2 linked regions of the Drosophila melanogaster genome follow. The protein of the gene in region 1 purifies or fractionates together with the protein of each later gene. This does not show direct contact. Each region holds a gene or a part of one and is shown on either strand. Other genes may lie near its edges.

Evidence for each region.
Region 2: the proteins of CG32473 (region 1) and PPO1 purify together in Drosophila melanogaster (affinity purification with mass spectrometry, with the first as the bait; one large-scale study listed by BioGRID). This does not show direct contact.

What each region holds. Positions count from the first base shown.
Region 1 is NT_033777.3:13,302,971-13,307,805, reverse strand, and holds the start of CG32473 (uncharacterized protein), read right to left. Parts: upstream 3,043-4,835; 5' UTR 2,736-3,042; intron 1-2,735. Other genes in the region: CG43208 (uncharacterized protein), read right to left, coding at 4,055-4,248, 4,314-4,341.
Region 2 is NT_033778.4:17,886,456-17,891,683, forward strand, and holds PPO1 (prophenoloxidase 1), read right to left. Parts: upstream 3,519-5,228; 5' UTR 3,446-3,518; coding exon 3,090-3,445; intron 3,033-3,089; coding exon 2,897-3,032; intron 2,828-2,896; coding exon 2,333-2,827; intron 2,259-2,332; coding exon 1,625-2,258; intron 1,468-1,624; coding exon 1,215-1,467; intron 1,156-1,214; coding exon 957-1,155; 3' UTR 765-956; downstream 1-764.

The sequences.
Region 1 (4,835 bases):
TGTACGATTGATTGACGGATCACAAAAGGTTGTTGGCTTTTTGCCTGTCAATTTACGGAGTCTGTTGCACAAATCTCCGCAGGTTGTGCGATGGCAAGAAATTACAGATGCCATTATTAGCATTGGAAATGAATTGAGTTGCCCGCAGAGTCATGATCCACGGCTTGCTTTTCGAAAATGATGTCAGGATATAGGAGTATTAAGCCAAAAAAAAAAGAACAATACGCGATGCAGCTGAAGTATCACACGGATCACCATTCACTCGGAATTGTGCGAATTGAGGAATTCGAGGCTGCAGAATATGCTAATTTTCACCAGCCGGCAGGCAATTGTCTCTGATACACATGGTATAATACGTATACGCCCCCTTGCATCTTCCGCGGATGATGTAATGCTGACTCAATTAGGGAGCGCACATCGCACAAAGCCACCGCACATCGGAGTCAACAAAATTGCATGACTACCACCTTATGAGCGCCGGAAAAAAAGCAACCAGAAGATCTGCAGACAATGGTTGGTATATACATATGTACCATATGAGTTCATATATCTCCGACTTCCAACAGCCAATCGGACACGCCCCATTGCACAGATGTGAATATCTCGGCATTCTGAAGCCGATGAAGCGATGATCGCGGGGGCACAAGCCATAACATAACAGTTCTCATACTTCGCTAATGAGTCGCATAAATTTCACTACTTTGTAGATCGAGTCGAAAGCACACAGAAAAAAAAAACTAATGCGCAATACAGCAGCTTAAAAAGGAATTAATCTAAACATTATTTGATATAAGAAACGTGGATCATTTCTTATGCTAAACAGTAACAATTTGTGTTGTCAGATAAATTCAGATTCAGATCATTCAGATAAATATCCCTGTTTGTCACTCCATTATATGTTTGTTTACTTCAGAGCAGAGATGCTTTTAAATTTTGGAATTCGAAACTGAAAGCTTACATTTGAAACACGTTCTTCGGGCTTTTTAAGGTCATAACTTTCACAATAAACACAAAGTTATACGTGACAAGTGCGCCCCAGAAACACCCAAAAACTCAAAGTGAATCCCAGACATGGAAGAAATACTACCCATAACACCCGCGGTGGGATGAAATTGACAATGGTCGACTATACGTGCCTGCAATTTATGATATACACAAAGGGAAAATTCAAATAAAAACAATAAATAAAAGGAAGATGCGTTGACAAAGAAATGATTGCCACAATTTGCATGTTTGGGGTTAACGGAATGCGAAATAAATTTACTATTAATCAATGGGTTGCATCACTTTCAACACAAATAAACTATAAAATCGGAGAGGAAACTTCGGCCTTGACTTGCTTAATTTAATGCTATAGATTTCATGATATACACTTTATAAATAACTTCAATATTGGAAAATAGGAAACTCGAAACCATGCGATATTTACAAATATTTATGTAAGCTTTATCAACAGTTCATTGAAATATAAATAAATAAATATTTTATAAATAGAAGATCAATGAAATTGTTTATATTTCAGCATGTAGATCAATGAACTTCAAGGTGTTAAATTGTATAATTTACACACCGCCAAAGGTGTCAAGTGCCTTATCAATTCTGCCAACAACAGCCGTTAATTTACATTATTAGCACAAAAATCCAATTAAAAAGCCCTCCACTTTCGAAGGTTCTTTCCCACCGTTTGGAAATAAAAAAATTTCTATTTCGCCCAAGAAGAACGAAAAAGAAATCAGTGTCAATGAAAATGAAAAAAAGGTTTGACCACCGAGCTTTGACTGAACTTTCAAGAACAAAACAAACCCAGGAAACACAGCGAGAAACGGGTAGGGGAAGCTACTATGACAACAAGTTTCTTGGCAGTCAATGATGTCGACCCATTTTGTTGCGGCTTTTTGAAGAAAGTATTTTCTCAGCGGCCATTGAGTATTTGCCGCATTGAAGATGTAAACACGACGCATTTGCTGGCCAACAACCACAGATACACAGCAAAAAAAATCATAAGCAAATGATTACCAACAAAATCGAAGATACAAATTGAAGATCTAATGAAGAAGTAAAATGTCTAATTGCCGTAATTGTATTTATATATACAATTTATAATATTGATAATATTGATAATTAAAAAAACTGTGATATTAATTTTTCTTATAATCAGATTGGTAACAATTGTTGATAAATGTCAAAGAATGCAACTACGAACAGAATCTACTTCTCGTTGATAAGAGACATACCAATATAATCTGATAATGGGCTACGATAGATATAATTCTTTTCTTTTTTTTTTTGCTGTGCATCGATTGTGGCCGATTTAAGGCCAAGAACTTGCGCGGCAAGTGAACTATGTATGCATTTGGCTCCAAGCCTGTTTGCAGCGGTCCCAAAGGGGTGTGGGAAAGAAGGAGGGGAGGGGAAGGGAGCGGTGCAACCTGTTTGATTCAGCCATGTGGAGTTCTCTTGGCCAGCCTGCGATGGCCCGTTGTTTATCGAAACGAATACCCGTTGAAAGTCAAAGTTGGCATAGAATCCGGTGGTCACATTTCAGCGAATATTAAAAATAGTGATCGCCTCAATGCGCCCAATTAAAACTAGAATTTTGATCGCATAACGGCGATGCGGTGACAATGGTCATTTTGTATTGGCGTGGAGCTTTTGGAGCGGACTCAACGGTATCTGATTGATATGGGCCACTTATTATCTATTATTCCCGTCACATTTCGCACTATGCCTTTTACTTGATTTACAGTTGAAATCACAGCTTTTCGTGTCTCGTTTTTCGTTTTTCTTTTGTCTACGAATGGCATTAATTGTAACTTTGCCGGGTCCGAGGAATATTCACTCGGCTAATTTGATAACGGCAATTGCCGGACAGCTATCATTCTTGATTCAAATCGTAGGCGCGCACTCGAGAAATCCGAGAAAACGAAGAAAAGCGAAAAGAAAGGGGAATCGCGAGAATCGTAATTGAGATCGTATTTGCAGACGGAGTCCGCTCTTTTCTATCGCGACCGTCGCGCTCTGCTCTGAACTTCCGACTGAAGCGGGCTCCAAAGTTGTCACGGCACTCGAGCTTCTCCGGAAAGCTCTCTCATCAGCTGAGACCGGCTTTTTTATGGCCCCAACATGCGATGATCTCCAATGCATTGGGGGTATTCACAAGTGTGCTTGCAATCGTACTAGTTGCGGACAGTGCACTAGATACGATCTTAGCTACATAAATAGTACGATATAATAAAGATACCTGACATCTTAGTCTAGACATGCTAACAAAATGTTTGTCATCGCAAGATATACCTTAAAATTACTCACCTATCTACTCCATCGGCATTCGTGTAGTTGCTGATGTAGCTGCCCACCAGACTGCTCAGATCGCAGTCGAAACTTGCGGACAGTGTGTAGGCCTTGTTCATACTGAGGACCTCTCTTAGCGTGATCAGGAGCAGCTCCCGGGACTCATCCAAGTTGATGCTATCGATGGCCACGCGTATGCGCGCCATCATGTTCAGGATGCTGATGCTGTGCACATTGAGCTCCTTGGCGTGCAGGACGATCAGGTTGGTGATCGCGTTCAGCTGGAACTGAATGGACACGGTTCCCTCACAGGCGCCGGTCGTCAAGTCGGGATGGTAGTACACCTTGTACTTGATGGGCGTCAGTTCCGTGGGCAGGCGCCATTCGATCTGCGGGGTCGTAAAGTTTATTTAATATCCACGCCATCGATAATGGGCTTTGGCCCTATTAAGTGAGCAATGCGTTGATAAGGTGGCGATAGGAAATAGCACTGTTGTGGTCAGGTCGTAAACCAAGTGGACGTCGTTGCAACAAATATGCCTTAGCTGGATATAGTGGCTAAATGTTGTGAAATTAGGGTCCTAATTTATTAGGTGCAATTTCAGATATCAAACAACAATAGCTCTACTACACAAATATTGAAACCTAAGCGTATTTTGGTTTCTTATCCGTTTGCCTTTATTGCTTTATTGCTTTAACCATTTTTGGAAATAGATATGGATTTGAAAGCCATCTTTTTGAATGTTTGCCAGCACCCTAATTCTTATGAATTTCTTTCCGAAATGGTGGACAACAAGTGGCTTTGAATGTATTCCTCCAGAACATCCAACATCCTTTTGGCTTCGTCCAACTGCAGCAATAAATTATCCCTGTGGACGGCCACAATGACAAGGGCAACGATCAAGCAGGTCGATAATAGACCAAAGAATATAGCCACGCGCTCAGCGGTGATCAAGTCTATGAAAATATACATGAATCGGTATCGGTGTTTTCCCAAAACTTCCTTCGTTATCAATAAATACCCTTAATCCTGTCCTGCATGTGTCCCATTTTTGTGGCTCCTAACACTGCGTTAGCCGCAATTAAACTAACTTAAAAGACCCAAGAAATTAGACCCGTTTTGTATTATGATAAAAAAGAGGAAAAAAAACGCTAGCCAAGCGATAAGCACTTGAAATGACCAGTAAGACTAAGTTGGAACTTAATAAATTCGAAATTAGTAGCCATGCCGACTTTACGTCTAATCGCTGAAAATTTTCCCACTCTGTGTGAGGGTTTTTCTGAACTAACATCTTTTATAGCCGTGAAATATATTTTTCTTGCACTTCACTCACCTTTTCAGGATCAGGAAGTCCTGTCGGCAATGTCGGATAGATGGGATTGGTGGTGCTTCCTGTACTGGATGATGGCGAAGTTTCACCACCCGGAGATGTTCCTGCACTGGGGGTTGTGTCACCTCCTACGCCAGGTGTGGTGGTAGAGCCAGGCTCGGTGTCATCCGTGGGCCCATTGGGATTTGCAGTGGTGGTGGTCGTGGAAGTGCT
Region 2 (5,228 bases), on another chromosome or scaffold:
TTTCTGCAAATCAATCCAATTAGAGATTGCACATGCCTTCCACCTCTGATGATTGCAGTCGGAAACTCAATTTCATCACGTATACGTCATGTGGCGCCAGATAAGGCAGCCATAAAAATCTATTAAAAATCAATTTGTTTGAGACAGCTGTTGTGCTGCGCTAATCCAAAGTCTTGAACTTTATCCACATCTAGTGGATGCTTAATTAAGGCCGTCGACTTGGTAAAAGCCAAAAATTAATAAACGCAACACGTGCAGCGATTTTGTTGGCTGTTTTGCGAGGATGTTTTTTCTATTTTCCCTCAACACTTGGTGGGTGGATGGAACGCCAAGGCCTCCTGGACATGGGCAATCGCAAAGTTTGTCGAGCAAGGCGCTTTGAAGTCTAATAGGATTAGTTCGCACAAATGTGGGCGTGTCTGTCTATGACAAATAAACGCCCTTCTGCGGCTGTGTATCTGTATTTCTTTGCTATAAATAATATTCAATATTGCTAAGCAAATATTTGGCATGCGAATATTCCTAGACGAGGATTTCTTATATCAGTAAATATTTATCATATCCATGGCTGGCTTGCTTGAGGCCAACGAAAACGAGTAATCTCTGTTTTGCCTTGAAAAAGTAATAAATAAAAATCTGTAAAATTCTTTGGTCTCCCCGGGTGGTAAATTGGGACTATTAGATACATTATAAGCTTACCAAAAGTTTCTTGGCTAAAGCTATCTACCCACTGCATTCATTAGGTGTCAATACTCGCTTGTATTACTGCCTGCACATATTACAATACATTTATTTTTGTAGAGTGTAATTAGAAACGATAAAACACCACATAAACGCGCACAAGTTTGGTTAGTTATAAGTTAATAGCAAAAAGTGTATATGATTCCAAGAGTTTTCCGTTTTCAAGTCCGTTTCCATTGATTCTTAAAATCATCTCTGTTAGTTGGAGCAATCATCTAGGCCTTGTCAATCACACGATCATTGAAGACAATCCTTAAATCGGTCTTGGCCATGTTGCCAAAGGCACCGACCAATTCGGTGAGATTGGCATTGGGCAGGCGCCTATCGAAGGGATAGCCCATGGTGCGTCTGTCAGGATACAATTTGTCCTTCAGACCACAGAACGAGTACGCCGTGCTGCAGGCATCGTTGGGTCTAATGGGCGACAAGGAGAATGTCAGCTGATGATGGGAAATTGGGTTTATAGCACTCACGTTTTGGGCTGCTCAACGGAGTCCTGCGAGTAATCGGAAATCATGACGAACAGGTCGAAGACCATTCCCTGGGCATTGCCCTTGGGCAGCAGGAGATGCTGTGGCCACCCACATCCGCAAAACTTGAAGCGTGCCAACTCATCGGCGGCCTTGGGCTGATAGTCTGCTCCAACCGGGCGGAATGAGCGCTCGAAGGGAATGGCCACCGAGGACTCTGTCGACTGGCGGCGTATGGTGTTCTCACCAGGCACCACTGGGGATTAATTAAAGTATGTTAATAGATCGTAGGAGGTTGTCAGTAGGGAAAAGTATAAGCTAAAATCACTGGCTAGCTTTGTACGAAAGAAACACTTTTTAAATACCAAAATATTAAATAAATATATATACTAAGAAATACAGTTATTACTCACAATCAACTGTGAACTTGTCCATTTCGATGGCCAACAGTCGCTGCTCCTCCAGATTCAAAGCCTGATTACGCTCATCCACCTTGGGGCAGATGAAGATACGGCAAGTACCCGTTCGTCTGGCTCCATTATTGGTCACATTGAATGTATAAGTGAAGGGGGCATTCTGGAGATGGGTGAACGAGGCGAATATGTTGCGATCGGTCGTTGGTCCAAAGTCCAGGCCAGCTGCCAAGTCGGCACTCGACTTCTGCCAGTAGGTCAACAGGGTGTTGGCCTTGGTATTGGACTTGCCAATCTTGGCCTCAATGTAGTCCACGGTAATACCATCGAAGTTAAGCTCACCGGCATTGTACGGGTTCAGGCGAGTCTTGAATTTGTTGAACACCGTGTCGATGAATCCGTGCCACCTGTAGAAGATTGGATCCCTCATGGCCGTGGTCACATCGCCCATCACACCGAATTCCTCCAAGTGACGGTAATCGGGATCGTGGGCAAAGGAGATTATGTTGTGCCCCTCGTTGTGTAGATTGCCATAGAAATTATAGTTGATGGATAGGACTGGCGATGCCTCAATCATGTTGCCCAGGATATCGATGCCACGAACTTCGTCCAATGGTATACGATTGCCAGAAGACTATGGATTAGCAAATAAAAATTTCTAGTGCTTTCTATGACCTATGCTCAATATTCCAAACGGGCCCAACTCACATCTTCAACGTATCCTTGATCTATGGCAGCCAGCACGCGATCACGCCAGCGCTCCACATCGGAGATCTCCACACGCCCATCATGGCGGTCCACGTCCCTCAGCTTTTGGTTGGTCACTCGGGCGGGATAGGTGCGGTTATTCGTGCTGGACAGGATCTTGGGGAAGTAGCCCTCGGGAACCTCCACACGCAGATTGTTCAGCGGCTGAACCTTCTTCAGATTGTTGCAGAAGCGCTCCACATTGTAGCGCGCGAGTATCTGGTGGTGCATGTAGTAGAAGAGCTCGCCACGACGATCCTTGTTGACCACCTCCGTGGGTCCGGTGGTCGGGTAGACCAAGTGCCAGTGCCAATGATGGCTATTAACACCGATGTCCTCACGGAAGTACGCCAGGCGCTGTTCATCCTCGCGATCCGAGGCCGTGTAGTTTTGCGGAATGTCCACATGGACACGAGCGCCGCTCTCTCCAATAACAGAAGCTTCCTGACGGGCATCCTGTGGTCAAATTTATAAATACACCATTAAAGACTTTGATTGGTCAAATAAAGAAGAACTTAAACGAACCCGGAAGGCGGAAGGTTCTACAAAGTTGCTCGGAAAGATCTGGGAAATGTTGGTAATGGGCACTTCACGCGTATCCGGGCGATGGGCAACGGCGACGGCATAGGCGTATTGGAACAACACAGGATTCACACGATCCCTAAAAAATTAATACATTATACAATACATATATATTTATTTTAGTACAAGTACTTACTTGGTGTAAACGGAAAGCGACACGAATTGTCTGAGATTTGGTGCGCTCATGAAGAGGGTGATCAGCTCGCTGGCGATCTCACGATGGCGATTGTTAAACAGCGAAAATTGATTCTTGAGACCAATCTTTTTGGTGAACTCCAGACTGGGAACGTTGCTCAACTCCTGAATTGGGATCTTCAGATCCACGTCCTTAGAGAATCGATTGCCCACCTCCTCGGTGTCATTGCGATAGCGATCCGTATAGAAGGAATCGGGCAGTTCCAATACAGTTTTTCCGGAGTCACGAGTGGTGAATGCCGGTTCCAGGGGTCGCTGGAACATAAGTTCCAAGGCTTTCAGATCCGTGTTAGTCATGGTTTTCTCTATGGATGTACACTTTCAACTACACTTTTAACTTCACTCAACGAAGCCAGTTGCAGAACTGTGATTTTCCCAGGAAGCCGAACTCATTTTATAGCTAACTAGCAGTCCGAATATAAAAATAATATTTTTAAAAATATTCATTATCAAGTCCCAACCGCAAAACTGCAATGGTCGAGCCTTTTTTCTCACAAATCCAAACGTTGTGGTTTAGTCGATAGCTTCTGAAAAAGCAAAAAGTGCAATACCGCAAAAGTTGTTGAGCCGCAAAATGATAAGAGAAATACTTTTAATTGCTTGCATAAAATAATATACCATTGTTGATTTTCAGTTGAATGTTGTTAAACGTGAAACTGTATTGAGCTTGTTAGATACATATACTGATTTTTTTTCAATACTGCACTGCCTAATGTATACCCACAACCAATTAATTGTTTTCAACTTTTTGAAGAGTTATTAGTTCCGGGGTAGGAAGCTTAAATTGAATTTCTTTGTCTTTGCCGAAAAAGTATCCGAGAAACCTTTTTGCGACCACGCGAAATACAACTCCCAAAGTAAACAAGCCGAAGGCCACCGGAAAAGCTTCTTATTCGCATAGAAATAACACCGAATACTTGCTCAACAGGCTGCCACGCCCCCTTAAAAAGAACCGCCCATCGCCGAATGGGAGGCCATAAATTTGGCTTGGAGCAGAGGGCTCGTCCTTCGACATGGCCCATAAATTTGGTTTTTGAAATGGCAGTGTGTAGCTGAATGTAACTAAGAACTAACTGGCAAGAGAGCTTGGATGATTAAAATATCTATACTGTAAATCAATTTTTGTCGCTACGCCGTCTGGCCAAATGAACGATGTTGGCCAAAAAGCAAAGCGAATGGCCAAACTTTTGGCCATTGTCAATAATAAATGTTTCTGCCGACTTTGGCGTTGAAATGTGTGCGCATTAATCTGTGAAATTGACAGCAACAAAAACGAGCGTAACAAGTTTGCATAAATGTGCGGGTTTCGGGCGAAAATTGAAAAGATGAATTTTCACAATTTCTGCACTCTGGCCATAACAACATGAAAATGACTTTTCTGCTCGACTTTGTTTTGCTAATGTCGATGTTCCAGCAGATACACCATCTTTTCAGTTTATGAACTATGTACGGTAAGCAATGTAAGCCAAATTTGACTACCATCAATTGAATTTTTGTTTGAAATAACTTAGGCAAGAATATTTTATACGATTTTTTGTAGATTCTTTTAAACCATGCATACCACTTATGTATGTAATATAGTAATATATTGCAGAGTATATTGAAGTTGGCTTTTCCTAGAAAACACTTGACTGCACGCAAACATTTATCCGAGCAATGTAATTTTTCATTGAATATTCAACGACAGCCATGGCAAATGTGCTCCAGATTCCAGCCCAAAAGACAAACTTGCTTTAATTAATTATAAATTGTGGAAAAGTGTGTGCTTCTGCGAACTTGGCAGTGTGAATTGAATTAGAATGAAAATGGGCCAAAGCAAAAGCTTTAGGCCAGGACACGTGCAGAGCCTGCTTTCACCGGCGAAACAGAACAAAAAAAAAGGAAAAAACCCAAACTTTTACCAACAAGTCTTAAAAACCACGCAAGTTTGTAAAAGGCGCCAAGCACTCTTTCTGTTTGGCTTTATGGGCGAAAGTCTGGTCCATAAAATGAGCTGTGGGTATGCGTTAATTACCCGCTGGCTTAAATTTTACATTTTGGCTTAAGCACTCTGCGGCCAGGTTCGAAAACACATGATGCC